Rattus norvegicus: one gene and its partners. The protein of the gene in region 6 binds, or shares a complex with, the protein of the main gene of each other region. Links are inferred from orthologs where the notes say so. Each region holds a gene or a part of one and is shown on either strand. Other genes may lie near its edges.

Region 1 (3,500 bases), on a different chromosome or scaffold from region 6:
ATGGCACTTAGCAGGGAGAAGCAAGAGCCTCTGTGAGTTCAAGGCCAGCGTGGTTTACATAGTGAGTTCCAGGACAGCCAGGGCACATAAAGAGAAACATAACTGAAATCCAGAGAGATATGTGTGTGAAGGGCTACTACCCGGAGTAGCAGGGACACTGAAAAGTGCAGATAACCACCAACACTTACTTTTTGAGGGAATTCAGTATCTTCATGGAAATTCCACACTGGACCCATGATTTAATTGGCTTGGGGCAACCTTTTCCTTTAACTGTAATGCCCTCCATTTCCAACCGAAACACATTCACCTCTAGAAAACAAAGGCCCAGTCAGAAGCTCCTACACTTTGTACCATCTAGCCACATTCACTAGGCCGTCTGTCAAGGGTCAGAGGCCTCACCTCCCCTAAGTGCTATCCAATAGACATACAAGAGCCATACAAGAGCACCCAGCACACGGTAATCACTGCCACAAGACATGAGGATAACAGCAAGTGCCCAATTTCAACATTTTGGTTTTAATATTTTCTTCAATTGCAACAGAATGATTGACAGCCCTGTTCTAGCCAAGTCGCCCGGATTGTGCTCAGCAGACTGACAGCTGTCAATCATATGAACAGGGCCAGCACAGTCTGTTGGAATTGGACATGAACGGTACTTTAACCCAGAGAACTATGGAACTAACTCCATTCTGCACTTCTTAAAACACTTCCAAAGCCAAGCCAGGCCTGTGCACACTCCTACACTCCGCTGAAGCGACCGTTTGCTCAGAGGTCACAATAAAGGAATAAAACTTGTAGAACTTCTTACCTTCTTGAGACATTTTCGCTAATTCTGGAACTTCAACGTAAAAGTTTTTTCTGAATGGCTCATACTCAATTTTCCCATGATCCACTGGCTCTAGAAGCTTTCTCTGTTTTGTCTGGTAGCCTGTGAGGGCCGTCTGAAGGTCAACCTCTTCCTCCTCCGAGGAGTACTTGAATTTTCAGGAATAAAAAGTAAAGTCTGTTATTTATTTCATCTTCCGGAAGTCAGAGTCCTGGTTGCCAAAGCTCTCCTCTCTCCTAGGAACCACTGTGTGCATCGCTGTGTGTGATCCCACTATGTGCTATCTAATTCTGCAGGGTTTCTGTGCAACTCCAGGAACCTGGAAACTGCATCATCTAAAAACCTCAGGTCCTCAGGTAAGAATGTCCATGATTTTGAACTTGAGTATATAAATCCTTAAAAAGTTTTCAAGTTAATTTCTTTCTCTCTTTCTTTCTTTCTTTCTTTCTTTCCTTCTTTCTTTTTAAAGATTTACTTATTTATTACATATGAGTACATTGTAGCTGTCTTCAGACACACCAGAAGAGGGCATCAGATCTCATTACAGATGGTTGTGAGCCACCATGTGGTTGCTGGGAATTGAACTCAGGACCTCTGGAAGAGCAGTCAGTGCTCTTAACCGCTGAGTCATCTCTCCTGCCCAATTTCTTTCTTTCTTTCTTTTTTTTTTTTTTGGTTCTTTTTTTCGGAGCTGGGGACCTAACCCAGGGCCTTGCGCTTCCTAGGTAAGCTCTCTACCACTGAGCTAAATCCCCAACCCCCCAATTTCTTTCCTTATTCAAAGCTTTAATGTAGCACTGGCCTCACACGACTCTGTCAGGAAGTTCTACTCTTCCCTTAGCCAGACCTTTAGAGTGCAAGTCAACTGGAAGACGTGGCCGTTCACTACTTTTCCTGTGTTCTATGCCCAACATGGGCCAATCAAGAGGAGGGAGTGAAAAAGGATACAAGAGGACAGATCAGAATATCCCACAACCCCGCCCGCCCACCACACCCCTGCTGAGACTGAGAGCAGCAGGGACCCCCACAGGAGTCTATGACTGCAAAGCTTTGCTAGAAATGTCCCCAGGACACGATCATATACAAGGCAAAAGGAAGGCCGCCTCACCTCCATGGCGTCCTGGTCATTCTCCATCAGCTCTCCCTTCTTCTTGTCGGCATCTACTACTGCTTTCTTGGTTGTTACCACAGTAACCACTTTCGTGACAGTCGGTCCGGACTTCTAAAATAAAAAAAGTATTAAAATATTTTGCAAAAGCTAAACAAAAAATAAAGAGATTCAAAAATACATGAACACTAGATACAAAATGTTAGATTCCCACAATGTGCAATTCAAACTACCATGATTTGTGTTTTTAAAGGAGCAAGAGAGCTGTGCTTTTGTCCTGTGGGAACTTCCCAATGTGACGGCATGACAGTTCAGACACACTCAGGTACCCAGAACTGACTGCAGAATACGTATGTGTATACAACATTTTTAAAATGTATTTTTATGTGTATGGGTGCTGTGCGCTACACTTGTACCTGATGCCTGAGGAAGCCAAAAGTCAGTTTCCATTGTGAGTCGCCATATTGGTACTGAGAACTGAACCTAGGTTTGCTGCCAACAGCAGCAAGTTCTCTTAACCCCTACGCCGCGTCTCCAGGCCCAACATGAGACACTTCACTACGAAATGGGCTCATTCCTCAACATTAACATATTTTTTAAATTCTACTAAATGTTGTGTTTCACTCATTAGACAATCCAGCCCTGTTCTGAGGAGCTTAAATCAACCAATAAAATACACTGAGGTCCTTACTTCCTTGATGCCTTAAATGAAATTTTTAATTTTTTCCCCAAGTACCCTCCAGGCACAAAACAAAACAAAAAAGCATCCTTTTAAAAAAAACTGTACTAGGGGGTTGGGGATTTAGCTCAGTGGTAGAGCGCTTGCCTAGCAAGCGCAAGGCCCTGGGTTCGGTCCCCAGCTCCGAAAAAGAAAAAAAAACTGTACTAATTTATGTCCTTGCCCATGTCTAAGGACCACACGCACATGCGCTACCATGTGAGGTCTGGGAATCAAACCTGGACCCTCTGGAAGAGCAGTCAGAGCTCTTAACTGTCTTAGTCAAGTCTCTAGACGTGGGACTGCATTTTTTTTTCCGACCAGGCAGACGGCTCAGCAGATAATGGTACTTACTAACAATGGAGAAAGGAGCATACCCTTGCCTTTGCAAGTTACCTTCTGACGCCCACAGTCCCAGGCACACTGTGCTGTGCTCATGCCTCCCATCTCACCCCACCCCCAACCACCACCACTTAGGAAATAACTGCAATAAAAACAGCTTAGTCCAGTTCTTTTTTGGTTGTTTTGTTTTTGTGAGACGGAGTCTCTCTATGTAGTCCTGACTGTCCTGGAACTCAGAACGCACTATGCAGACTGCGCTGGCCTGAAACTCACAGAAATCACCTGCCTCGGCCTCCCTAGTGCCAGGATTAGAGCTGTGCACCACCCACCCCTCACTACAGCCTAGCTTCCTTCTTTGTGATCACCTAAGGTAAAGAGCCCAATAACTTTTAAGTGACAAGTGACCAATGCCAGACGTCCACGTACCTTCTCATTTCCTGCGCCGCCTTTCACGCTCCTCATGTTAAACTTTTTTACCTCTTCTTTCACTTCCTCCATGTAGGCAT
Region 2 (3,500 bases), on a different chromosome or scaffold from region 6:
AAACACAACTGCTGCTCACCCACGAGACCTACACAATCAGACTCAGTTATGAGTAGGTACCCAGACCATTTTCACAATGCAATCCAAATGTTAGCAATGTATTGAACCATGTATCCAAACTGCAATAACTTTTATAGTGTGAAACATAGATTTGTTTTGTTTTGTTTTGTTTTGTTATAAAGATCTCTTTGAACTTCCTAACACATGCACAGTGTGCTAACAAACATGTGCCCACAAACTGAACTACTAATTCCTTACCTTCAAAACAATTTTCTTCATTTCTTCATCAGGAGACTGGAATTCTCGAATAAGGATTAGCATCACTTCTCTAGTATAGTAGTTGGCATATTCTGCATCCATAAGAGGAATAAGATACCCAATAGCCTTCAAGAAAGCAGCCAGACCCTATTTAAAAGTAAAATATATACATATACACATATCAGTACATTAATTTTGGGTTATCTTAATGACTAGCAACAGAAACAGATCTAATGCGCAGATTACCTTTCCTCTATGTTGGCGAATACCCTTCCATAGGGGCTTGAGCACAGAATCAAAAGACTCAATACCATAAGGAGTTGCTGCCTCAGCCAAAGCAGCAATGGCCAGAGCACTGATGGTCCGAACTTTCTGCTGCTCATCCACGAGACCTATACAATCAGACGGTTATGAATAGGTACCCAGACCATTTTCACAATGCAATCCAAATGTTAGCAATGTATGGAACCATGTATCCAAACTGCAGTAATTTATTTTGCAGTACATATAATTTAGACAAAGGCAATTTGTTAACAGAAAATATTACAAACCCCATTTCTAAATATAATGTTTGTGTGAGGAAAGCCTTTCATTTATTTTACATATACACCTGCCCCTATCAGGACAGCTGATCTATAAACGACACATCACCACTTACCATGCTCAATGATTTCAACTAAACTTCTGAGATGTGGCAAGATAGCACAGCCCATGAGAATGGCTATCTGTTGTACAATCTTAATACCAGTGTGCCTCGCTTGCCAAGACTTCTTGCTTTTACACACAGCTTTCAAGAAAGGCAATAAAGAAGGAATGCCCAGAGCAGAGGCTACAACAGCAAAAGCTCTAGCTGTTGTGTTTCGGACATATTCATCCATGTTATCTATATCAGGTCTCATGGTAGAAATCATAGTAGCCAGACCAGCAGCCTAAAAGGAAAAGTTACAACAGCAGCTTTAGTTAGTACCATTAATCCTCAACCCATGGAAAGACAAACTTCCTTTTCTAGGAATTTAATGTGAATACCTTTGCCAAATTAGAAATAATTTCTCGGCCTTCCACTCTAGCATAGTAATCTTCATCAATCAACAGTGGCTCGATAACCACAAGAATCTGAATGAAGGAAAAAGAAAGAATTACATTTCCACATCAATTTATCAAAGACATTTGTTAATGGAGAAATAGATTAAAGAGTTTTAATTCTCTGGCAGTAGTGACACATTCCTTTAATCTGCACTCAGGAGGCAGAGGCAGGTGGAACTGAGTTCAAAAGGGCAACCTGGACTACAGAACAAGTTCTAGGTCAGCCAGGGCTACACACACACACACACACACACACACACACACACACACACACACACACACACACACACACACGAGAATAACAACTTCCATATTCCACACAGTGCAAAATAGAACCAGAAAAATAAAAGTGAAACCATTCAACACTAGAGAACAAACCAACCTTGTGCACATATGGCCGCACCAAGTCATCAAGTTTATACAATATTCTGTCAATAACTTTCACAAGTAAATGTCGCTCTTGATCCTCAAGTGTAGGGGACATCAATAGAGGCAGAATCTGGTTAAACAGTGGTCCAGCTCCAAATTCTCGAGCTTTATCAGTAATCTGACGTAAGGCAGCCTGAGGAAAATCAATGGAAAAGAAAGTTATTTTTTATGAGCAAACACACATTCCAAAGTGGCAAATTTCACCAGGAATAATAATATAATTTGCACTTTTGTAGACAATTTACATACAGTCGTCTGAATTCATTTCTGTAAACTTTTAATATTCAAACTCTAATGGTCTAAGTTCAACACTATCAGCTCATTTAAAGGGGGCAATTAATTTAGTGGCAGTTGAGGTCTGAGGATAACGGTGCTTATCGCAAGACTAACGACTCCACTTCAACCCTGAGATCCAGACAATGAAAGGAGAGAAACAACTTCCAAAAGCCGTCCTCTGAAGCATCCTGGAGCACGACCCTACCTGTCCCCTTCACATATCTATGCACCATGCACACACACATGCATGTGTGTAAAAAATAGATGAGCATAAAAGAAAAAGGGGTAACTTAGAGCACTAGCAAGATTCCTTCCTCAGGGTGTAAAGGGTAATGGCAGGCCACCAAGCCTAATGATCATTTGAGTTCAATCCTAAGAACCCACACAATAGAAAGAAAGAACTGATTCCTACAAGTTATCCTGACCTTCTACCTGTGCTCCATGTGCACATGCCCATAAATAAGATTTTTTTTAAAGATTTATTCATTTATTAAATATAAGTACACTGTAGCTGTCTTCAGACACACCAGAAGAGGGCATCGGATCTCTTTACAGATGGTTGTGAGCCACCATGTAACCACATGGAATTGGGAATTGAACTCAGGACCTCTGGAAGAGTAGTCGGGTGCTCTTAACCACTGAGCCATCTCTCCAGCCCAAGATTTTTTTTTAAATAAAGAAAAGGATAATTTAGTAGAGCTATGGAGCTATCTATACAAGCTTAAACCATATGCCTTAGTTCTGCCTGAACAACCTTCTTCTATGTTCAAGCCACATTTGGTTGTTACAAGTCATAATTTCCACTAATTACCTCTAAGTTCTAAACACTTTAAAGCTGTCAAGGACAAAAAGAATTAGCCATCTCATATCCTTATCAGAACAAAAAACTCCTTTGATTAGAAGTTAAATTCACTGAGCTTGGAGCATGAGTGTGTAATCCCAACCAGTACTCCAGGATAAGAGGCTCCAAAGCTCAGTCCTGCCTGAACAAGCTAAGATCACGCTAAGCAACTTATCAGAGAGCATATACAAAGTCAAAAGGGAAGCAGAGCAGAGTGTCATGTCTTATTCTGCTAATTCCACTACCTGGGTAACTAGGCAAAAAGAATGGCTATCAGTCTAAATTCAGCCTGGGCTACGAGTTTCAGGCCAGCCTGGGATAGTTTAACCAACAAAAATAATGAATATAACAAATCAAACACTAGGACTAGGAATCAGATGTGGTACACACCCCCAATTTTATTAAATAAAGGTGATGCATTATCTTTAATCTGAGCACTTGGGAAGCAGAGGCAGGTGGACCTCTGCAGGTTCTAGGCCAACCTTGTCTACCTAGTAAATCACAGAACAACCAGGACTGTGTAGAGACCCTGTCTAAAAAAATAAAAAGCTGGGCTGGGGATTTAGCTCAGTGGTAGAGCGCTTACCTAGGAAGCGCAAGGCCCTGGGTTCGG
Region 3 (4,268 bases), on a different chromosome or scaffold from region 6:
TGTTTTATGTTGGAGGCCTACACAGTGGAAGATGAAATCCAACTACACAAGTTTTCCGCTGGCCTTTCTGGCATACTCACACCCAGAAACCCATGCGTGCACATGTACAAGAAGCAGAAAATAGGGGTACAGATGGAGAACCCCACTGGATGACAGAGGTAGACACGATGGACAAATCTCTACAAGGTACGCAGCAGAAAGACCTCTCCAGAGGTGAAGGCTGAGACAGGTGTCCTTCAAGGCCTCAAAGCCCTGCCCGCACACTCACTCCCACGGCAGAGACTGCTTCAGTTATACACACCAAGTTCACAGACTGCACCTCTCTCGGCCGTAAACCGGCAGAGGATCGGGGAAGAAACTAAGATGAGAACCTGACCCAGTGGTCACTCTGAGTGACAGCTGGGACAGTCATGGGCCACCAGCGGACGCGAGATCCAGGACAAATGGAGATTCCTAAGGGAGTAAAAAGGATCGCGTGCGCGGAGCAGAGTCCGGGGTGGAAAGTGGGGAACAGAACACTTACTGATGGAGAAGCCTCCCGGCTCTTCCTGGGCCACTCTGCAGCGCTCCAGCAACAGGGCTCCGAGGGGCTGCGCGAGACACGGCCATGAGCACCGGCCTCTGGGCCGCGCGGGTCCCCCGCGCCCCCCACACCCCTACCTCGGCCTCGTCCGGGCGGAAGTAAAAGAGGAAGTTGACCACCAGCTTCACCAGCCGCCTCTTGGCCACTGCAGGCAGAGGGCGGTGTCAGCGCGCAACTGCTGTCATCCGCCCACCGGGGAACCCCGCGGCCCGCCCAAGTGTCCCAGCCCCGGCCCGGACCAGCTCACCGCTGCCCTTCTTGGGGCCCCGCATGCCCAGCTCGGCCGCCATCTCTGCCGGCTGCCGGGACAGCGCTTGCAACTCTTTCTCGTTGTACCGCATCTCGCCGCCCGGATCCGCGCGAACCAAAACGCGCCCTGCCTCTCGGCCGCCGTCCTGCCCGAAGCCGCTACTAGCGCCACAAAAGTCTCAGGAAGCGACCTCGTAAGTCCCAACGGTGCTACTGCGCCTGCGCGTTGTTGGGCGTGTTGCGTGACGCTAGTTGGTGGGTCAGCACAGTAGAACAAGGAGTCGGACGGGAAGGAAATCGCCCGTCCTTAAATAACCGTCAGACACACTGAACGTGGGGTGTAAATTTAGACTCATAGCACCTCACGATACGCGAAGCTCGTTCCCGGGCCTGTGAACCCTGAGGTTTAAGTCCTGTCGCGATAGTCAGCGCCAACAGAGTTAGGGCGGAGCAAGAATTCGTAGACAATGCAGTGCGCACGCGTACTCCGTGTCCCGGCGCTCTTTTTTTTTTCTCCCGCCTCCCGTAGGGGGAGTCCATTCGCTGGGCATGCGCACACATGAAACTCCGCCTTCCTTGCCCCCGGAAGTGATTGCTCAAGCGGTCGTGCGCATGCGCACAACAAAATCGCGGCATTCGGGGAGGTTAAGCCCAGTTACCGAGGCCTTGGTGTTGGTAAGGAACTACGCGGTTTGTCGGTGGCGGCTGCCCCGTCTGTGGGTCTTGAAAGTAGGAGCGAGAGCGTGGGGCCTGGCGGGGCAGCGGCCGCCCTTTCCCCTTAGGCGTGGCGCACCCTCGCCCTAAGAGCGCGGTCTCGCGAGGTCCTTTGAGTCGTGGCGTGATCGCGGACTTTTGTGGCGGTTCCGTGGCCTCTAGGGTGGTTCGGGTTCTTGGAATGTCATTTAACCTGCTTGTTTGCCTCAGTTTCCCTCGCCGTTAGTCAGGGCCATGGCGACTACTGCTCCTGTCCACTGTAGTAGGTCTGTTGCTCGGATTAAAAGATAACGGTATATGCATTTAAAAGTGATTTGCGGGGTTGGGGATTTAGCTCAGTGGTAGAGCGCTTGCCTAGCAAGCGCAAGGCCCTGAGTTCGGTCCCCAGCTCCGAAAAATAGAAAAAAGAAAAAAAAAGTGATTTGCCTTTAGACCAGGCAGGCCTTCTCCCAGACCGTGACCTTAACATATACTACTCTTCTGTTTCTATTGATCGTTCATCGGTAATCTTAGAGTAGTCCGTGAGGTCGCACGGCTCCCAACCATTCATCCTGGTCTCTTGTCCCAGGCTTCACTTGTGAGTCCATCCAGTCATCGGCACAATTTTACTTTATTTCAGACAGCGTCTCACGGCATAACTGAGGCTGACCTGGAACCCTGTGTGGACTAGGCCGATTTCGAGCTCACATACACTCCCATACCTCTGCCTCCCGCATACTGAGATTTACAGCGTGTGCCACTACACTTGACTGTTTTGTTTTAAGGAAGGTTTATTTTGACTGATAGTATGAAGGTGCAGTCCACTATGGTGGTCGTGTTACAGCCATAGTCAGGAAGCAGATAAAAGCTGGTATTGGAATCCCTTTCCCGTGTTTTTAAAGATTTTTTTTCCAAATGTGTGTCCATGTGGAGCTTCATGTGTGAGTATGATAACGTCAAGTCCAGGAGAGACTGTCAGGTTCCCTGGAGCTGGAGTTTCTGGTGGTTGTGATCTGCCACTAAGTCATCTTGCCAGCCTACCCAGCACCCTTTTGTCTTTTATTTGAGACAGATCTCACTGCACAGCCCAGTTTGGTCTCAAATTATACCCATCATCTTTCTACCTTGGCCTCTAAGGGAGCTGGAAGGAAATGTATACACTGCCATGCCCCATGTTTTCTGTTTCCTGAGGTTGGGAACTGTTGGTGGGCTGAGGCGGTAGTTCATTGGTGAGCGTTTGCAAAACTTTGTGCTCCATCCACTGGGCCAAGCAGTATGCTCACCCAGGCCAGTTTTATTCTGCTTTCCTTCCAAAGCTGATGAACTACATTTCTGCAGTGGATATCCATGCACTCAACCTCAAGCATGCCCCCCCAGGGGACCCAGTGCATGCTGGACAAGTGTTCTCCTTGAGTGGCACCGTCAAGTCTGTGGATGGACACCCAGCCTCCCTGGGGAGGCCAGCCACAGAGTCCTATGTTCTCAAGAGTTGTCTTTGCCTGAGCCTGGAGTGGTTTTCCATCCTGCTGCTGCTGCTTGTGGGTGCCCCTAACTCTGAGAAGCCAATTGATTCTCCCACCGTTTGGCTGTACTCTCGTGTCTGGCCAGCTTCATCTCTGGGAGTGTGTCTGTTGGTAGCTCTGGATGATGTAGACGATGCCCTTCTCAGTCTTTGGCTGAGTACAAAACATCTAATAGGCTGCTCCTGTCCCGCCACTTCAGTGTACACCTCTCAAGCCGTCCCTCTCAGCACCTAGAGCATCCTGTATCCTTTGCCTTCTGGCCTCTTCCTCCTTGACAGCCAGTGCTGTCAGTGGCCTGTCAGCCTTGAGCACACTCTAGTGACATTGTAGTAACTGGGTACCTGCCCTCAAGGTTCTTGGTCACATTTGTAGAGCCCCTTGTGCTATGGGAGGCACCAGTGATGATGACAAGAGCTGTCTCTACTTGTCTCCTGGTCGCTGGCCCTGGGTTTACTGTAGGTTTACCAGTAGACTGAGTAGTCTTAAGTGTTCTGCCTCAGGTAACACTGTCTGGAGGCTTTGGCTGAGCCTCCAAGGTGAGACCCTTGGTATCGAGCATTCCTTGTGTCAGGCAGAGGAGGGTGTGTCCTCTAATGCCAGCAGAGGTAGGCAGAGGCCAGCCTAATGTGTGAGGAGAGTTCTAAGATAGCCATGACTACGTAGAGACTCCTCCCTCAATAATAACAACAACAATAATAGTAATCATATGTTACATCAGGGAGAGGCGGCTCAATGGTAGTCACAGCACTTGGGAGGATCAGGAGGTCAGAGAAGGGATGGCTTGCATGCTGGGCCATCCCGCGGTCCTAGCATCATCAGCAGGGTTCTAAGCCTTAGTCTTCCTTGCTCCCCAGGTTTCTCCTGTCCCCTAAAGTACCCAGGCCTGCATCATGGACTTTCAGCACCGACCTGGAGGCAAAACTGGGAGTGGGGGCGTGGCCTCCTCCTCAGAGAGCAACCGGGATCGAAGAGAGCGCCTGCGGCAACTGGCCCTGGAAACCATCGACATCAATAAGGTGGGGGAGGGAGAGTCTCCAGGCCTGCAGAGCCCTCACCTTGCCCACCTTGGTCCTTGGGTCCCGGGGCCAGGCTGTGCGGTCTCACGGTACATTTCTTCACTCCCAGGACCCGTATTTCATGAAGAACCACCTGGGATCCTATGAGTGCAAACTCTGCTTGACTCTGCATAACAATGAGGTACCTGCCCACCAGACTTCCAC
Region 4 (4,271 bases), on a different chromosome or scaffold from region 6:
GCTAGAGAGAAACTTTGTCTCAAGATAAACAAAATAATGGGGCTAGAGACATAGCTCAGCGGTTAGGAGCAATGACTGCTCTTCATTAGGACCTGAGATGAATTCTTAGCATCCACATGGCAGTTCACAACTGTCTGTAACTCTGAGATCTGATGCCCTTAAACATACATACATGTAGGCAAAACACCAATGCAGATATAAATAAATGAATAAATAAATATCAACAAAAAAGATATTAACTCACCATACAATTAAAAAAGAAAGTCTGGCCTTTATTTAATCCAGAGAACTGTCTGACTCCTGAGGGCTGAGATTAAATTTATACTCATCACAATCAGCCTTTATTTATGTTTTTAGAGACAGGCTCTTGGGTTCAGCAGTTAGGAACACTGGCTGCTCTTGCAGAGGTCCTGAGTTTGAATCCTAATCCCTACACGATAGCTAGCCATTTGTAACTATAGTAGGAGTAGATCCTTCCCCTGGCTTCTTTAGGCCATCACACACACGCGTGGTATATAGACATACATGCAGGCAAAACAGCCATACAGACAAAATTTAAAAAGAGGTTAAGAAAAAAAACATAGGTCGTAGCTATATAGCTCAGAACGGATTTGGATTCCCTAGAAAGAAACATCAAGCCATTACTTACTTTGTGCCTCTTCACTTGGATTCTCTCGAGCTTTCAGGAGCTCCTCGAATTCCACCGACATTGGCACACAGATCTGGTGGGAGAGAAAAGCTCAGGTGGGTCTGGCAATGTCTCAGGCTTGTAGTACAGGGCTGGACTGCTTTTTTTCACTGATTGGTTAATCTACAAGATTTAGTGTGAAACTATTCATCTACTGGGCTTCTTTTAAATCCAAACATACAGTCTTTACCATCAGTTTATAAAACACTCTTAAAACATCAATTTGTGGAGTTTCCTATTTGGTTGTCCATGTACATCTAGATACTGTATTAAAAAAAAAACCGTTCAACAAATTTGTTCTATTTCTTTAAATCTACCAAACATAAAATACAAATAAAATGTTTGACAGGTTTTTTTTTATATACATATTGTCTCAAATGTCAGGAATTTTTTCTTTAAAAGCCTGAACTATATCTCATCATAAGCACACATATTTACAGTATATACATATGCATATTATACTTGCAAGTCTTTAAGGCTGGGCTTCTAATGCTCGCTTTGACCTTAAGTGTACAGAGGAGCTCACTACTTAGTGTTCTCAGCTTCCCTTGCTTTATAACTGGGCAGACGTCTGATTCCTTGCCACAAATACAGCATCCTAAGGAAGGACTGCCTTGGAGGAGGTAGTCCACAAGAGATATTTTACACGAGTTCTGAAGGTGCACTGAACTCTGGGAATGAGCACAGTACAATTGTGTTGGTAGATTTCAAGCCAGAGCTAGGAGCACATTGTATTGGGTGGGAGAAATTCTTAAGAGAGATAAAAAGGAAAAAGTAAGTTTGGGTAGGGGGAAAGCTACTATGAGGGAGACAAAATTGGAACTAAACCAATAAAGAACTCTGGTGCAAAGGTCACCCGATCTCTCACTGGACAGAAAGAAATAGGCTCTAGTGCTTCCTGTGTTCTCTTACTGCAGAGGAACACCAGGAAGGATGTCGCCTAACTGTGCTCACTGCAGTGAAGTGGCACGTTCTTTCTTGGACAGACATCTATATGGCATGCCACCATTTTCCTCGCATCTTTCCTTTTTTTAAGGATAGGTCTTGGGAAACTACTTTGGGAGCCTCACCTCATTTGGGTGCTTCCGATGAAATTCCTTTATCTGCTTCAGTCTGTTATAGAATTCAGCAAACTCATTGGGTCCTGAAATAGCATTGAGCTCCTCCTTTCGTAATCTGCAAGATATCAGCAAATTCAAAGTGCATAAAGCACAAAGGCCATCATTTCACCATGGCTCCCCTGAAGCACTGTTAGAAGGGATGTGACTGTCACTTACCCATCCTTATCATCATACAAATCCCTCAGGTTCCCACTGACCTCCATGTATCTCTGAAACGCAAACACAAAGCCATCAGAATGGAGCAAATTTGTACAATGGGGCTAGGTAAACAACAAAGGGAGTCTTGGCAAGACCCAAGGAAACCTCACGGGATACAAAGTCTTGAAAGTTCCACCACTTTTACAACACAGCCCGAACCCAGAGTAGTCGCCCACACTTTTGAGAGGCAGAGAGAGGATATCTGACTAAGAACCCAGGGGCAGGAATCACGCTGAGCCTCCAAACCTTCCCTGCCAGCACTTTTCCCGCCCAGCCAGACCCAAAGGGAAGCAGACAGCGGGGCACTCACATCTTGCATGGCCCTAGTGCGGTGATCGGAATTGATCTGGTCCCGGAGCTGCAGAAAGGCAAACGGTAACACATACGTTGTTACTCTGAGTTCAGGAGTTGGAAAGGCCACCCGAAGGATGAGCTTATTGGTTTAGGTCTCAGGGGCTGAAGCAGAAGGGCTGCTGGGCCCTCGGAAGACGTTAAGGAGGCCAGAGCGCCCAGACAGCTTAGGAGGAAGATGAAGATGGGGCGCAGGGAGGGTCTGAGACCAAATAAAACGCCGAGAGCTCCGCTGAGGGCCGAGGCCCTCCTACTGATGCGACCCCGACCACTGTTCACTCACCGTGGACTTCTTAGTGAGCATTTCTTTGGCCATAACATCCATAAGCCGTTCTTTCTCCTCATGATAGCGCCGTTGCTGCTCTAAAATTGTCTCCATTTTCTCTTGGCCGCGGTACTTCAATTCAGACCGCTAACACTGCCGGAAACACTGCCTGCCGCCTTGCACGCCCGTGTCTCTGAGCGCAGTATCCGGCTGCACCAAAGTTCCGCGTGTCCCGGAAGTGGCTTGGGGGACTCAAGAAAAAATGAACACCACAAAGAGAGCAAGTCGATGCTACCGGCGACAGTAGCTACACTGCCCCCTGCTGGCTGGAGGTCTGAAAACGCGATGCTTCAGCGATGAAAGATGTCTCTAGGTTGCCTGCAAGAATCCTGCAGGCTGAGGGTGAGAGACAGCTGGCTTGCCTGAGGCTTGCTGCAGACAGCTGGGCCGGCTGGGACACACTAACATTTGAACCGATAAACTGAAGGATACAGACAGGAAAGGGGACCTGGAAGCTCCAGTTTTCAGTGTGTGACCTCTGGTGATGTTTTCCCCTTGTCTGGACTTTAGTATGTCTGTCAGTAAAATGCAGATGGTGGTGATTTTGTTCTTAACAAAAGTCATACTTACTCATACTAAAACACAACCTTTGTTTATTAGCAGAGGAGTCTTTAAGAAAAATGTAGTACACTCAAGCAATGGTAGGCTTGCTATTTGATACAGGTTGGCTTCTGATTCTCTGTAATTCTTAATTTTTCTGCTTTTCGCAGAAACTTGCTGGAATTACAGGTCTGAGCCACCATACCCGGCCACTGTATGGCTTAGAAAATGAAATCTAGGCTGACTTTCTTTGACAGAGGAGGAAGAGGAGGAGGCAGAGGCAGGAAGATCTCTGAGTTCTAGGCCAGTCTGATCTACATAGTGAGTTCCAGGACAGCCAGGGCGACATAAAGACCCGGTCTCAGGAAATAAACACAAACAAACAAACAAACAAACAAACAAACAAACAAACAAACAGAATAGGGACAAAGCGTGAATTGGTATAGAGTGCCTGTCTAGCATGTATTGGGAAAAACAGCTTTAGAGCAAGGTCGAGTGGCTCACACCCGTGATCCAGACTTAGGGGACTGAGGTAAGAGGAAAATAAGTTCAAGTTCAGCCTGAGCTATGTGATAAGACCCTATCTCAAAACAACATATACACGCATGCACGCACGCACAGATACACGCATGGACACATACGCGTGTGAAATCCAAGGTACAGGTTTCAACATCAACACAAGAAAAGGGACTCTACTACATGCCTACTCTAGGCAGAGAAATGAAAACATTGTCCATATGCTCCTGTTATTCATAATTCACCAAAACTGCATGTAACCCAAGAGTCCATTAATTGGGATTGGAGATATGGCTCGGCAGTTAAGAGCATTCGCTGCTCTTCCGGAGGATCTGAATCCAGTTCCCAGCACGCGAGTCAGGTGGCTAACAACCACTTGCATCTCCAGGTCCAAGGAATGACTGGGCACCCTGGTACACATGCCATCCACTCTTACATACATACACACCTAATTCATGGGTGAATGGATAAACGTGTTATCAGAGGACACTGTTCAGCAGTGAGGGAACGCTCTAAGGAACCATGAAAGCAT
Region 5 (4,189 bases), on a different chromosome or scaffold from region 6:
ACAGAGAAACCCCAGTCTTGAAAATAAAAACAGACAAACCTGAGAAAAAAAGAAAAAGAAAAAAGAAAAAGGAACTAGACCTGTGACAATCTCTCTTTGCACCTTCCTTTGCCTCTCCCCAGATAGGCTCTTCAGCTCTCACAATCTCTGGCCTTCAAGATGAGCTGTCTCATCTTCAGGAACTATTAAGAAAATGGACACCAAGAATATCTCCGGAGGACCACAGCAAGAAAAGAGATCCAAATACTATCCTTTCTCAGATCTGCTGAAACTGCTAGCCATCTCAAAGGCAGGGCAGAGGGCGGGGGTTTGTTTCTGCTGATGTTTATGTCTGACCTTGGTGCTTCGGGTTTGGTATTCCAGTCTGTAAAGCTCACTTAGTAGGCCAGTTTCTGTAGATGGTGCTACCAACCTCCAGCTCTCCTGTCTCGTTTGGTTCCTGGAGCTATTTTTGTTTCTTGTGATTTGAAAAATAAGAAACAAAACCAATTCAGAATGATTGCCTTTTTTCGAGGCAATTCTGTGCCATTTGGATGGTTGTCAAAAGTATGATATCAGAGACCCTTTTCATCAGCCCCAGCAAGGTGTCCTAGAGACCTCATTCTCAACCCCTCAACACTACATTGAAATCTTTTCTTAGTCTTCTGTGGGAATGAGGTGAATAAGGGAGACACCTCCTCCTCCCACTGTATATTTTTGTAGCAGCATTTCTATTTAAGGAGTTCATTAAAGCACAGTATTTCTACACATTGCTGGTATTTTCTTGTATTGAATGAAGATCTCAGCAAAGCGGTGGTGGTTGTGGGGTAGTGTGAACTGAGAAAAGGACACTTATTATTGTAAGGAAATAAAGGATTGGCAGGGCTGGGCAGAATGCACATGAAATATTGGGAAAGCCCCCCCGCCCCACACACACATACGCACACACACCTTTTTTGAGACAAGGTCTCTCTGTATATCAGGCTAGCCTGGAATTTTTTTTTTTTTTTTTCCGAGACAGATTTTTCTGTGAGGCCATGGCTGTCCTGGATCTCGTTCTGTAGACCTGGCTAGCCTTTAGCTCAGAGATCCACACCTGCCTCTTAAAGCTTCAATACCTGCCTGTGAGCACCCTCGGTCTCAAATTTCCCAAGATTGGAGGAGCTCTGACACTTACGGGAAACCAAAATACCTCGAGCTCAAGCCTAGGCCGAGGGCGAATCTGCACGAGCGTTGTGGACCGAATTAAAAATAGGCTGTTTTCAAAGGCAGTCCTGGCCCTGGATATGGCGGGACTTTGCCTAGCACACGTCTCTGCGTCACAGAACATACAAAGCTTGGTTTAGCATTTCAATTTGCGCTTGGGGTGCAGTGTGATGCCCTAACAGTCTGGAAGCATTCAGGGCTTTAGTTAACTGTATCAAGACCGGCTGATTCACTTCTGTTCCACCCCGATTGCTGCGGCAGCTCCAGAGCACCTTTCCCTTCTGTCCGACACGAATCTGACTCCTAAGATGGCCGCGATCGCTTCCGGCTCCTCCCTTGTCGCCGGCCCCGCCCAATGTGAGCCTTGGCCCGGAAGTGGAAGTAGAAACTGAGGTCAGGGGGGCGGTGCTGCTGCTTAGAGACGGCGGGAGCCCTTTCGCCATGGCTGCCGGACCGATCTCCGAACGGAATCAGGGTAATTGGGAGAAAAGAGACCAAGATAGGGGCAGGGAAGTGAAGAGCTGATTAATGCCAGAAGCATTTCTGCTTGGGTGGGAGACGAGATCCCTCTGATGTGAGACCGACCTCTGGGCGCCTGGCTCGCCTCGAGGCCAAGTGGAGGCCCAGGCCTATGAAGAGTGATGCTTCTAGATCCATTCTCTTTAAATACTCCTCTACCAAGAAGACAAAATTCTCCGGAAATACAGGATCAGCAAGAATGCCAAATTAGACGTAGCGGATTTTTCTAGACTGTGGAAGCTGAGGGAATTTCGGGTCTTTAGTTAACGTTTTTGGTTTTTATTTTACTTTTCACTCTTGACCCTCTCCTTACCTCCTGCTTCTTCCCTTTAGATGCCACGGTGTACGTGGGAGGTCTAGACGAGAAAGTGAGCGAGCCACTGCTATGGGAGCTCTTTCTCCAGGCAGGGCCAGTGGTCAACACCCACATGCCAAAGGATAGAGTCACTGGCCAGCACCAAGGTGAGTACATGTCGAGAATTAACCCTGTATAGCGTTAACGGCCCCTGAAGAGTCACAACTCCAGTCACAACTACTTTGGAATGAGCAACCTAAAGGTTCTTTTCCCCCTTAAGCTTCAGTTCAGTTTTTGGAATAGTTTCTCTTAGCACTAGTTACTGGAACCATTCTCAAGTGAAGTAAGATTATTCTTCTGTCATGTTCTTTTTATTGTTTTATTTTCAAGACAGTGGTTCTCTGTGTAGTCCTTGGCTGTCCTGGAACATGCTCTGTAGACCAGGCTGGCCTCAAACTCAGGGCTCCACCTCTGCTCCAGCATGGTGGCATTAGAAGCATGAGCCCCCACCCAGCCCTTACCTGCTTTGTTCTTTGTGTTTGCAAACTGGTGAGTTAATGTTTGATTTTGAATCTCTTCACCTGAGTGGTCTTTTTTCATTGGTTTCCTAGGCTATGGCTTTGTTGAATTCTTGAGTGAGGAAGATGCTGACTATGCCATTAAGATTATGAACATGATCAAACTCTATGGGAAGCCAATACGGGTGAACAAAGCCTCGGCTCACAACAAAAACCTGGATGTAGGAGCCAACATTTTCATTGGAAATCTGGACCCAGAAATTGATGAGAAGTTGCTTTACGATACTTTTAGCGCCTTTGGAGTCATCTTACAGACCCCCAAGATTATGCGGGACCCTGACACAGGCAACTCCAAGGGTTACGCCTTCATTAATTTTGCTTCATTTGATGCTTCAGATGCAGCAATTGAGGCCATGAATGGGCAGTACCTGTGTAACCGCCCTATCACTGTGTCTTATGCCTTCAAGAAGGACTCTAAGGGTGAACGACATGGCTCAGCAGCTGAACGACTTCTGGCAGCCCAGAACCCGCTGTCTCAGGCTGACCGCCCTCATCAGCTGTTTGCCGATGCACCCCCTCCACCCTCTGCCCCCAATCCTGTGGTTTCATCCCTGGGTTCTGGGCTTCCTCCACCAGGTACAGCTTGTAGTTCAGACTATGCCAGTGAGGCCCATGGGAGGGAGGTCAGGGGGCAGAGGAAGCCCTGGAAGAGTAAGCTGTGAAGTCAGTGGGCAGTGAGGGAGGAGTGAGGATGCTGGTGGGAGGGAAGAAGTTGGTGCATGTCCTTAGGAAGCTGGAGTGTAGCATGCTGGGAAAGACATTCTGTCCGATACCACTAATTGTCCTTCATTTCTTAAACAGGAATGCCACCTCCTGGTTCGTTCCCACCTCCAGTGCCACCTCCTGGGGCCCTTCCTCCTGGGATACCCCCAGCAATGCCCCCACCACCTATGCCACCTGGGGCTGGAGGACATGGTCCCCCAGCAGCAGGAACTCCAGGGGCTGGACATCCTGGTCATGGACATTCACATCCTCATCCATTCCCACCAGGTGGGATGCCCCATCCAGGTAAGTGCGCTGAGCTTGTAGAGGGGCCTTTGTACTGCTTCTCCCAGTGCTCTTTGTCTTGGGTGGAAATAGTCCAGAGTCCTTTTCTTCAGAAAACAAACAATACTTTGTACATGTTGGTGTGCTCCTGTGTTATCTCCACCTATAGCTTGTGCTTGGCAAAAGCTCTCAACCTCTCCTCTGCTTCCAAGGTTGCCAAATCTAGAAGACATTTCTGCTTTTGGTTTTTCGAGACAGGGTTTCTCTGTGTAAACCTTGCTGTTCTGGAACTCCCCCTGTAGACCAGGTTACCCTTAAACTCAGGGATCCTCCTGCCTCTGCCTCCCAAGTGCTGGGATTAAAGGCATATGTATTTTTAGATTTTCTAATGTCAACTTTAGCAACCTGGATCAATTCCTTTTTTATGTATGTGTAGATTTCGTGCTTGGTTCTCTTTTCTGTGTTTATCTGTAGTGTTAAATGTGAAGGTTATGATTTATTCTGGGTCTCTGTTCTGAGGTTCTTGGTAGACTAGAAAAGGCTGCTGCTCAACCCACAGTTTACTTTTCTCTTTCCAACACCATCTTCAATGGCTCTCACTTGTAGGAGCCCAGTCCACAACTCT
Region 6 (3,950 bases):
TCACATTTTATATATTAAAAATATCAGTTATGCTATGCGTATGTTTCACTAAATGTAAAGGAACAAATTGCTGTGAATTCTCTAAGGCAGGCATACAAAACAGCATGGAACACTGCATAACTTTTCTTCAATCCCTCCTCATTAAATTCCAGCTAGCATAAGCAGGTGAACAAAACACACCGAAACTAAAACTCACTTAGCGCAGTTTCAACACTAAAGGATACCAACGTGAAAACTGCACTGCAACAGGATAAATACCTGACACATATACATTTGTATTTCTGTCTTCTTCAACATGGAACCATCCTAAAAATCAAAGGGAAATAAATAAAACACTTGAAACAAACAACAAGAATTACATTAGGAAATCTTAGCAAAGGCAGTTTCTTCAAAGTTTTAGAATGTCCTCTTTATCTCAGACAACTACGCCTAACTCAAATCCCTACGTATCTTCCAAAAGACATAAACCTTTTGACTGAGAATTACCTTTAGCGTTCTTTCTATCCTTCATGACTATAACCCTATCTTAAAGTGAAAACTCACATTATCATTCTTGCCTCCAACATGTACAATGGACTCACTCATTTTTCCTATCTCATTTTTAAACCCGGACTTTGCAAAGACAGAACCACTTGCCAGATTCAGCCTTTCTCTTTTCTCCCCTCTTTTTGGAGTCAGTGGTTTCCGGGATTTCTTTCTGTGGCGGCTCTTCTACAGTCTTAGTGTTGGCGTCCTGGACATTCCCAGTAGAGCTGGGTGCACCATCACCAGAAAAGCCGTAGTTGGCCTGATACGAAGCAATGAAATCTTCGGTGATCTAGATAAATAAGTCAACACATGGACGGACAAGGTGACTTCACTTGTGGAAACTGTGTTACATTCAACAATATAAGCTAAGACTTAAACAAGTGTTTATACCACAAGTAGTTCTACTAATTAAAATATAATCCAAGACCAGTCACCTTATACGGAAAACGTGTAGTGCAATCAAAGTAGGACAAGGGTGCTCAGATTGCCAAAACCACACGCATAGTTTTAAGTGATGCTACCACTTTTTTCTACATTCTTGTAAACTACTACTTCTTTACAGTATATTTAACAAAAGTGGCCAATACATAAAACAAAAGAAGTATCGAATAACAAGATGGTAAAACCCAAAGTCCACTAGCAATCTATTGCAGTATCTACTTTTGGGTGCCCAGATACCAAATAATAGTTTGTCAGACTATTATAAGTGCTCAGAAAGAAATCTCATCTACATTCGAAAAGGCATTGCAAGTCCAGAAGTTCAATTGTAAATTTTTACAGTTTGGGGTGCTTGAAATATGCGCAAATACAAAATCAGAAAGAATAGCTGAAATAAAGAATTTTGGAACCAACAATCAATCCCCCTGCACAATGGAGAAAAGTTGTGTGTGATTGGCTCTCCAATCGCTTGGTGTGCTGTTAGTACCCTTTGATGCCAAAGTTCCCATGAGGCTAAAACTAACAGAGTACTTTCACCCTACAGTTTATAACACCGGGTTCAACACCAGTTGTGTTATTTCCATGCTGAAACTAAACACTTAGCAATTCCCAAGTACTCGGAAACAAATGTAGAGTTCTCTTTCATCCATTTCCTGCGCATTCCTAGTCATACTCCTGTGCTTAGAGGGTCCAAACTTAGATGTCCTGGAACAAAATTTAGTAGAATAATAAAACAAAACAAGAATCAAGAAAAGTTTATTCGGCAGAATGAGCTGAATGACTGCTTTCTGACCCGGTAAATCAACAAGCTACATTAGGCACAAGCATGTACACGAAGCGTAAGTTAAGTTTGGTTATACAGGATAAAACTCTTATTAATGTGTTTTTCTTGGTGTTTTTCCTCTTTGCAGTAAAAATATCCAGATAAAAATGAACTGTGACCTTCACACACACACACACACACACACACACACACACACATACACAAATTAATAAGACATTAAAAAAACACACTTAAGGCACCACTCTAAGATTTACTTTTCTTTATACATCGGGGCTGCAATAGACTGAACAGACTAGCCACCAACCACCAGTTCAAAGACCAAGTACTTCAGCGGAGCAAACATAAGAGGGATGTCCCGCAAAGGTGGTCAGGGAGCCCTATGTCCCGCTCCACAGTGGGACTCAAGCTACTCTCTTACCTTAGGGAACCAAGCCTTCTTATCAAGGTCCCACTCGTAGGGAGTGTCATCTGGTGGTTGTCCCAAAGAATCAGTTTCTCCAGAGGGCTCATTCTGGGTGTCACCTTCCTTGGGGTCTCCGTACAATTCTTGCATTCGCAACTGCTCATCAAATTCATCGTTCCCGCTCAAGTTGCTGCCACTCATGGTTCTCACGTAGTCCCGGACACAACGGTCAGAGAAGTGAAGAGGCCAAAAGGGCGCTGGAAGAGAGCAGAGAAAGAGAGGTCTGCAGAGCTCAGAACGTGCACTGCAACTCCCCGGCCGCCTCCCGCAGCGCCCCAGCAGACCCTGGGAAGTCTAAGCGGTACCACCCCAACTCCGCCCTCCTGCCCGCCCCACTCGCGCACGCATGCGTCTAGAAACTGCCAGCGCTGTCGCCGCCACCCACCTGGCGGACTCCGCGGGGTCTCAACGCCACCGCTAGGTCTAGGGCGAGGCGGAAGCGCGCAAGCGCGCGGTTACCGCCGCGGCTGGCTCCGGGGGCACTACAGCTTCCTCCGCCACGTCAGGCAACTATTTGAGAACGAAGTCCGCCTCAGACTGATGCGGTCGCCATTGTCCGCGCGTGGCGACGTAAGGATCGCTCGACACGCCCACGTGGCGTCATATGTCCGCGACGCTTGCGCGGACAGGGGCGGGGTTTCAAAGCCTGGCTGCCGCCGCGTGTCCATACTTAATGGTAACTCGCCTTAGAGACGCAACCTGCAGAAATGCGTGGCACCTCGGGAACCTTGGGCTCCTCTGCACTCCGGACGAATTTCGCCGCAGCGATTGCCTGAAAAAGGACGCGGAACTCTTCCAGACGAGCTGGCTGTGTTTGGGCTTTGCGGCAGGCGCCATCTTGGGGAGGTGGGTGGGACCGTGGGACAAGTTTCTCCCGCTTCGCGAAACCTTTGCGCCTCCTTCGCGCAAATCCCCGCCCCTGCGCAGAAGCCAAGGGTTTACTTATTTTTAAATGCTTGCCCTAGGGTACACGCGGCTTTTGTTCACCTTAGTAACCCAAACACCTAATATACTGTTTGGCGTCTAGTGAAGAAGGAGTGAAAGAAAAGTGGGCAGAAGCCATCGCTTCCTAATCTCACCCCGTTTTTTTTTTTTTTTTGTTTTTTGTTTTTTTTCCGGATCTGGGGACCGAACCCAGGGCCTTGCGCTCGCTAGGCAAGTGCTCTACCACTGAGCTAAATCTCACCCCGTTTTTATGCTTCTGGTACCACCCTCAGACTGCAGTAGGTGAGAGTAGCTTTTGCCTGCGGCTTACTGCAACGTGTCAGAGGTGTTCCAGCCTGGAATTTGAAGCTTGACTGTAAACATCCCCTTGTACAAATAGGAGATGAACCATGTGGCCCCATTTCCTTGTTTCTTAGTAAGACAGCCTACTGCCTTACTAAGAAAAGCGGGACTTTTCTCTTAGATGTTTCATGTACCTCGAAAAGGGAAGAGGTCCATATTTTTAAAACAGACAGGCATTTACTGAACTATTAAGTGCCAGGGGGCGATTCTGAGGCAGCTGCTGAGAAGACAGATCAAGGGAGGTTCAATTATAGTTGGCGAACAATAGGGTGGAAGCACCAGATGCTGGACAGCAGCAATTACTTTGTTTTATTTTGTTTTCAGCATCCTTTAATACTCAAAAACTAGACAATTCTAAACAGCTTTTTTTTTTTTTTTTGGTGTGTGGACTACGTTTATCAACAAACAACAACGTCTGTTGCCATAATGTTAACTATGCAAGTAAAATTT
Region 7 (3,500 bases), on a different chromosome or scaffold from region 6:
GTTGTGTTTTGCTCTGCACTCTGTCTTAGGTCCAAGCCCAGGTGATCCAAGAGACCATAGTACCGAAGGAGCCCCCTCCTGAGTTCGAGTTCATCGCTGACCCCCCCTCCATCTCAGCCTTCGACCTGGATGTAGTGAAGCTGACAGCTCAGTTTGTGGCCAGGAATGGGCGTCAGTTTCTGACCCAGCTGATGCAGAAAGAACAGCGCAACTACCAGTTTGACTTTCTCCGACCCCAGCACAGCCTCTTCAATTACTTCACAAAGCTGGTGGAGCAGTATACCAAGGTGCTGGGTTGGGTACAGGGTGCTGCAGCTTCCGCTCTCTGTCAACCAGGATACTTGCTTTGTGCGTCATCCGGGGAAATGTGAATCCCAGCTTGATCCAGAGTCTTGATTTAAAAAGTCTATATATTTATGTGTGTGAGGAGGAGGAAATGTACGACTGTGTAGGTGCTTTTGTGCCTTGCCATGGAGTGCACTTGGCATCAGAAAACAGCTTTCAGTTCTCCTTCCTTGAGGATCAAACTTAGGACATCAGGCTTGCATAGCAAGTGCTTTTACCCTGTCAACCATCTCCTTGGCTCTGAGTCTTTTCGTTTGTCGTTCTGTTTGAGACAGGATTTTCTTTGTGTAACAGCTCTGGCTGTCCTGGACTAGTTTTATAGACTAGGCTGGCCTCAAACTCAGAGAACCACCTGAGTGCTGGGATTAAGTATTGAGTTCGTTCGTTTCTTTCTTTCTCCCTCCCTCCCTCCTTCTTTCTTTCTTTCTTTCTTTCTTTCTTTCTTTCTTTCTTTCTCTCTTTCTTTCTTTCTTTCTCTCTTTCTTCCCTCCCTCCCTCCCTCCCTCCCTTCCTTCCTTCCTTCCTTCCTTCCTTCCTTCCTTCCTTCCTTCTAAGACAGGGTCTGACTGTGTAACCCTAACCCTGACTGACCCTTGAACTCAATATTTAAACCAATCTGGCCTCAAATTCAGAGATCTTTTGTCTGTGGGATCAAAGGTATGGGCCCCCACACCCAGCTTGTATTGTTATCTCTTTAAATACTTCTTGGTGTTGAAGAGATGTGTTTATAAATTGCTGTTATTAGGTGGCCATCTGCTGTGTGACAAGACTACATAGCCCTCTCTGCTTTTAGGTGTCCGTGCATTGCCACTTGTCTGCTACAGGGCCTGAGAAGCAAGCTCTTAACAGTTGCCTCCTGTTATCTAATTAAACCTCACAGAACTTTTAAAGTGGTGTTTCTCAACTTTTCACAAGCAGAAACAGGCTAAGAAAGATGATTTCATGGGGCTCTAATTACCCCTCAGTAGTAGAACACTTCTCTAGCATGCATAAGGTGCGGGATTCAGCACTGTGCTGGAGAAAAAAAGACCAAAAACGAATGTGGTGTGAAATCAGTCATGATATGTGCGGGTTCAAGCTTGTAAGCAGGGTCGCTGAGATTCGAGTCTTTGCGGTCTTGACCCTGTGGAGTAACTTCCATGAGGAAACGTTGAGTATGACTCTGCTATCACTGCAGCATCTTCCCAAAGGGCCTGATGCTGTTTAAGGCCGTTATCCTGCCTCTCAGTTATCCTGGCTGGAGCCACACAGGCTGCAGAGCTGGCCCTTTTTTATTACTCCTGACCCTAGGTTGCACTGCTGCAGTCATGAATCAACACAGCAAGCCGGGCATGGGGTGCATATCGTTAGTCTTAGCACTCGGTGGTGGTGGTGGTGGTGGTGGTGGTGGTGTTGGTGGTGTTTGCTTGTTTGTTTGTTTGTCAAAAGACTGGGGTCTCCTCATGTAGTGGGGTTTCATTTGAAACTCACTATGTAGACCAGGCTAGCCTTGAACTCACAGTCTGCCTGCCTCAACCTCCAGAGTGCTGAAATTTCATCACTCAGGAGAAGGGAGGATCGCTGAGTTCAAAGCTAGTTTGTGCTGCATTGTGAGTTCTAGAACAGCCTTGCCTACAGACTGAAACTGTTTTTTTACAAAAAGAATCTGATACAGTAATCTAATATTGAAAGTTAATCAGAGAGCTGGATATAGAAGCTAACACTTCTAATCCCAGCTCCAGGAAGGTTGAGGCATGAGGATTACTAGGAGTTCGAGACTTTACGCTTTAACAATAAAATGTTTGATATGCTACAAAGGCTATTCACCTGGTTTAGGTTTACCAGCGGCACATTTTTCTTGTTTTTCTTTTTAGTGGCATGGTCTACATCTACTGTTAATATTTAGAAACAGTGTTAGAGATCTAAGTTGAAAGGACTCATAAGGATTTGCTCTGAAGAATAAAGTTAGAAATATTTAAAAATGTGTCTTTAGAAAATGACCAAATCTAGAATCTAGTAGAGCAGTAGAACAATGACTGAAACCCTAAGCCACAGAAATCTGTAGGTATACAGTCTCAGGGGTTTGTGGATTTTTTAATTTTGTTTTATTTATTTCTATTTTATGTGTGTGACATGGGAGTGGAAAATGGTCATCAGATGCCCTGGGACTGGACTTAGCAGATGCTTGTGAGCCACCTCGAGGGTTCTGAGAATCACACACAGTCCTCTGAAGAACAGGCCCTTAGCTGCTGCTTATCTCTTTAGCCCATAGTATCAGTTCTAAGTCAGTTCTAAGTATGGTGTAGGTCCAATTCGAACTTCCATAGTTAGAAGTTCTCAGATATCTATTTTGTTATTTTTTTTGTTTTTTCCTCTAACTTTGGATATTGGTATTGACTCATAACATGAAGGCACTAGAGAAGGCTGTTCTAGATAGATTCTAGGGGTAGAAGTCCAAGGATGGGAAGGTAAAATTGTGCTGCTTTGTGAGTAGAAGTAGATATTGTGGGAGGATTGGAATGGCTGTTAGAATAAAGGCAGTCAGTGTTCTGTTCCTCGGGAAATGCACATTAGACATTATTTGTGGTTCTAATCACAAGAAGACAGGAATCTGTCTTGATGGAGATCCTTAGTGGGTAGGAGCATATAGGTTAGGAGCCTGTGTCGGATGGAGATAGGTACTCTGGGTAAAAGGCATGGAAATACTGGGAAGAAAGGGAAGAGGTAGCTGCAGTCCTGAACAGGACAGCAGGGCATACATCAGTGTCACTTAAGCAGCTAAAATAGCATGTTCTAGGAAACCTGCCTATGGCTTGAGTACTTGACTAGGAATCCTGGAAATGGCTTTCTCTAGAGGTACTTTCTTAAGTGGTGGCGTCAACATTTGGAGAAGGAAAAGCGCATTCTAGTTGTTATATAACTTGCCCCAAACCCTACATCTGGAATCCATCTCTTGTGTCCTTTGATGGGCCCAGGAAGACTGCCTCTTTGTCTTAAACTGTGTGAGATACATTGACAGTTGTTCTAATCCTCTTTCAGATCTTGATTCCACCCAAAGGCTTATTTGCAAAGCTCAAGAAAGAGGCTGAAAATCCCCGAGAAGTTTTGGACCAGGTAAACACAGGATTTCCTATTACAGAAACCAATGCATGGGTTCTCAATGTGTGGGTTTTGTT

Evidence for each region.
Region 1: Htatsf1 (region 6) and Ddx46 share a complex: the UniProt entries of both Homo sapiens proteins name them as parts of the 17S U2 SnRNP complex. The link is inferred for Rattus norvegicus from reciprocal best matches to the Homo sapiens genes HTATSF1 and DDX46.
Region 2: Htatsf1 (region 6) and Sf3b1 share a complex: the UniProt entries of both Homo sapiens proteins name them as parts of the 17S U2 SnRNP complex. The link is inferred for Rattus norvegicus from reciprocal best matches to the Homo sapiens genes HTATSF1 and SF3B1.
Region 3: Htatsf1 (region 6) and Sf3a2 share a complex: the UniProt entries of both Homo sapiens proteins name them as parts of the 17S U2 SnRNP complex. The link is inferred for Rattus norvegicus from reciprocal best matches to the Homo sapiens genes HTATSF1 and SF3A2.
Region 4: Htatsf1 (region 6) and Sf3a3 share a complex: the UniProt entries of both Homo sapiens proteins name them as parts of the 17S U2 SnRNP complex. The link is inferred for Rattus norvegicus from reciprocal best matches to the Homo sapiens genes HTATSF1 and SF3A3.
Region 5: Htatsf1 (region 6) and Sf3b4 share a complex: the UniProt entries of both Homo sapiens proteins name them as parts of the 17S U2 SnRNP complex. The link is inferred for Rattus norvegicus from reciprocal best matches to the Homo sapiens genes HTATSF1 and SF3B4.
Region 7: Htatsf1 (region 6) and Sf3a1 share a complex: the UniProt entries of both Homo sapiens proteins name them as parts of the 17S U2 SnRNP complex. The link is inferred for Rattus norvegicus from reciprocal best matches to the Homo sapiens genes HTATSF1 and SF3A1.

What each region holds. Positions count from the first base shown.
Region 1 is NC_086035.1:8,976,604-8,980,103, forward strand, and holds part of Ddx46 (probable ATP-dependent RNA helicase DDX46), read right to left. Parts: coding exon 3,421-3,500; intron 2,049-3,420; coding exon 1,935-2,048; intron 975-1,934; coding exon 809-974; intron 310-808; coding exon 189-309; intron 1-188. UniProt on the Homo sapiens protein: Component of the 17S U2 SnRNP complex of the spliceosome, a large ribonucleoprotein complex that removes introns from transcribed pre-mRNAs.
Region 2 is NC_086027.1:63,999,220-64,002,719, forward strand, and holds part of Sf3b1 (splicing factor 3B subunit 1), read right to left. Parts: intron 1,904-3,500; coding exon 1,724-1,903; intron 1,372-1,723; coding exon 1,285-1,371; intron 1,188-1,284; coding exon 917-1,187; intron 651-916; coding exon 505-650; intron 406-504; coding exon 259-405; intron 1-258. UniProt on the Homo sapiens protein: Component of the 17S U2 SnRNP complex of the spliceosome, a large ribonucleoprotein complex that removes introns from transcribed pre-mRNAs.
Region 3 is NC_086025.1:9,563,400-9,567,667, reverse strand, and holds the start of Sf3a2 (splicing factor 3A subunit 2), read left to right. Parts: upstream 1-1,468; 5' UTR 1,469-1,507; intron 1,508-3,902; 5' UTR 3,903-3,938; coding exon 3,939-4,064; intron 4,065-4,173; coding exon 4,174-4,245; intron 4,246-4,268. Other genes in the region: Plekhj1 (pleckstrin homology domain-containing family J member 1), read right to left, coding at 524-590, 831-1,080, 1,194-1,372. UniProt on the Homo sapiens protein: Component of the 17S U2 SnRNP complex of the spliceosome, a large ribonucleoprotein complex that removes introns from transcribed pre-mRNAs.
Region 4 is NC_086023.1:142,250,936-142,255,206, reverse strand, and holds the start of Sf3a3 (splicing factor 3A subunit 3), read right to left. Parts: upstream 2,801-4,271; 5' UTR 2,738-2,800; coding exon 2,642-2,737; intron 2,366-2,641; coding exon 2,318-2,365; intron 2,019-2,317; coding exon 1,966-2,018; intron 1,865-1,965; coding exon 1,759-1,864; intron 723-1,758; coding exon 650-722; intron 1-649. UniProt on the Homo sapiens protein: Component of the 17S U2 SnRNP complex of the spliceosome, a large ribonucleoprotein complex that removes introns from transcribed pre-mRNAs.
Region 5 is NC_086020.1:186,420,278-186,424,466, forward strand, and holds the start of Sf3b4 (splicing factor 3B subunit 4), read left to right. Parts: upstream 1-1,389; 5' UTR 1,390-1,626; coding exon 1,627-1,660; intron 1,661-2,037; coding exon 2,038-2,166; intron 2,167-2,610; coding exon 2,611-3,153; intron 3,154-3,378; coding exon 3,379-3,585; intron 3,586-4,189. Other genes in the region: Mtmr11 (myotubularin-related protein 11), read left to right, coding at 123-269. UniProt on the Homo sapiens protein: Component of the 17S U2 SnRNP complex of the spliceosome, a large ribonucleoprotein complex that removes introns from transcribed pre-mRNAs.
Region 6 is NC_086039.1:139,971,592-139,975,541, reverse strand, and holds the start of Htatsf1 (HIV Tat-specific factor 1), read right to left. Parts: upstream 2,801-3,950; 5' UTR 2,599-2,800; intron 2,582-2,598; exon of another isoform or gene 2,411-2,581; 5' UTR 2,355-2,410; coding exon 2,169-2,354; intron 818-2,168; coding exon 637-817; intron 307-636; coding exon 259-306; intron 1-258. UniProt on the Homo sapiens protein: Component of the 17S U2 SnRNP complex of the spliceosome, a large ribonucleoprotein complex that removes introns from transcribed pre-mRNAs.
Region 7 is NC_086032.1:83,261,471-83,264,970, forward strand, and holds part of Sf3a1 (splicing factor 3A subunit 1), read left to right. Parts: intron 1-29; coding exon 30-287; intron 288-3,363; coding exon 3,364-3,438; intron 3,439-3,500. UniProt on the Homo sapiens protein: Component of the 17S U2 SnRNP complex of the spliceosome, a large ribonucleoprotein complex that removes introns from transcribed pre-mRNAs.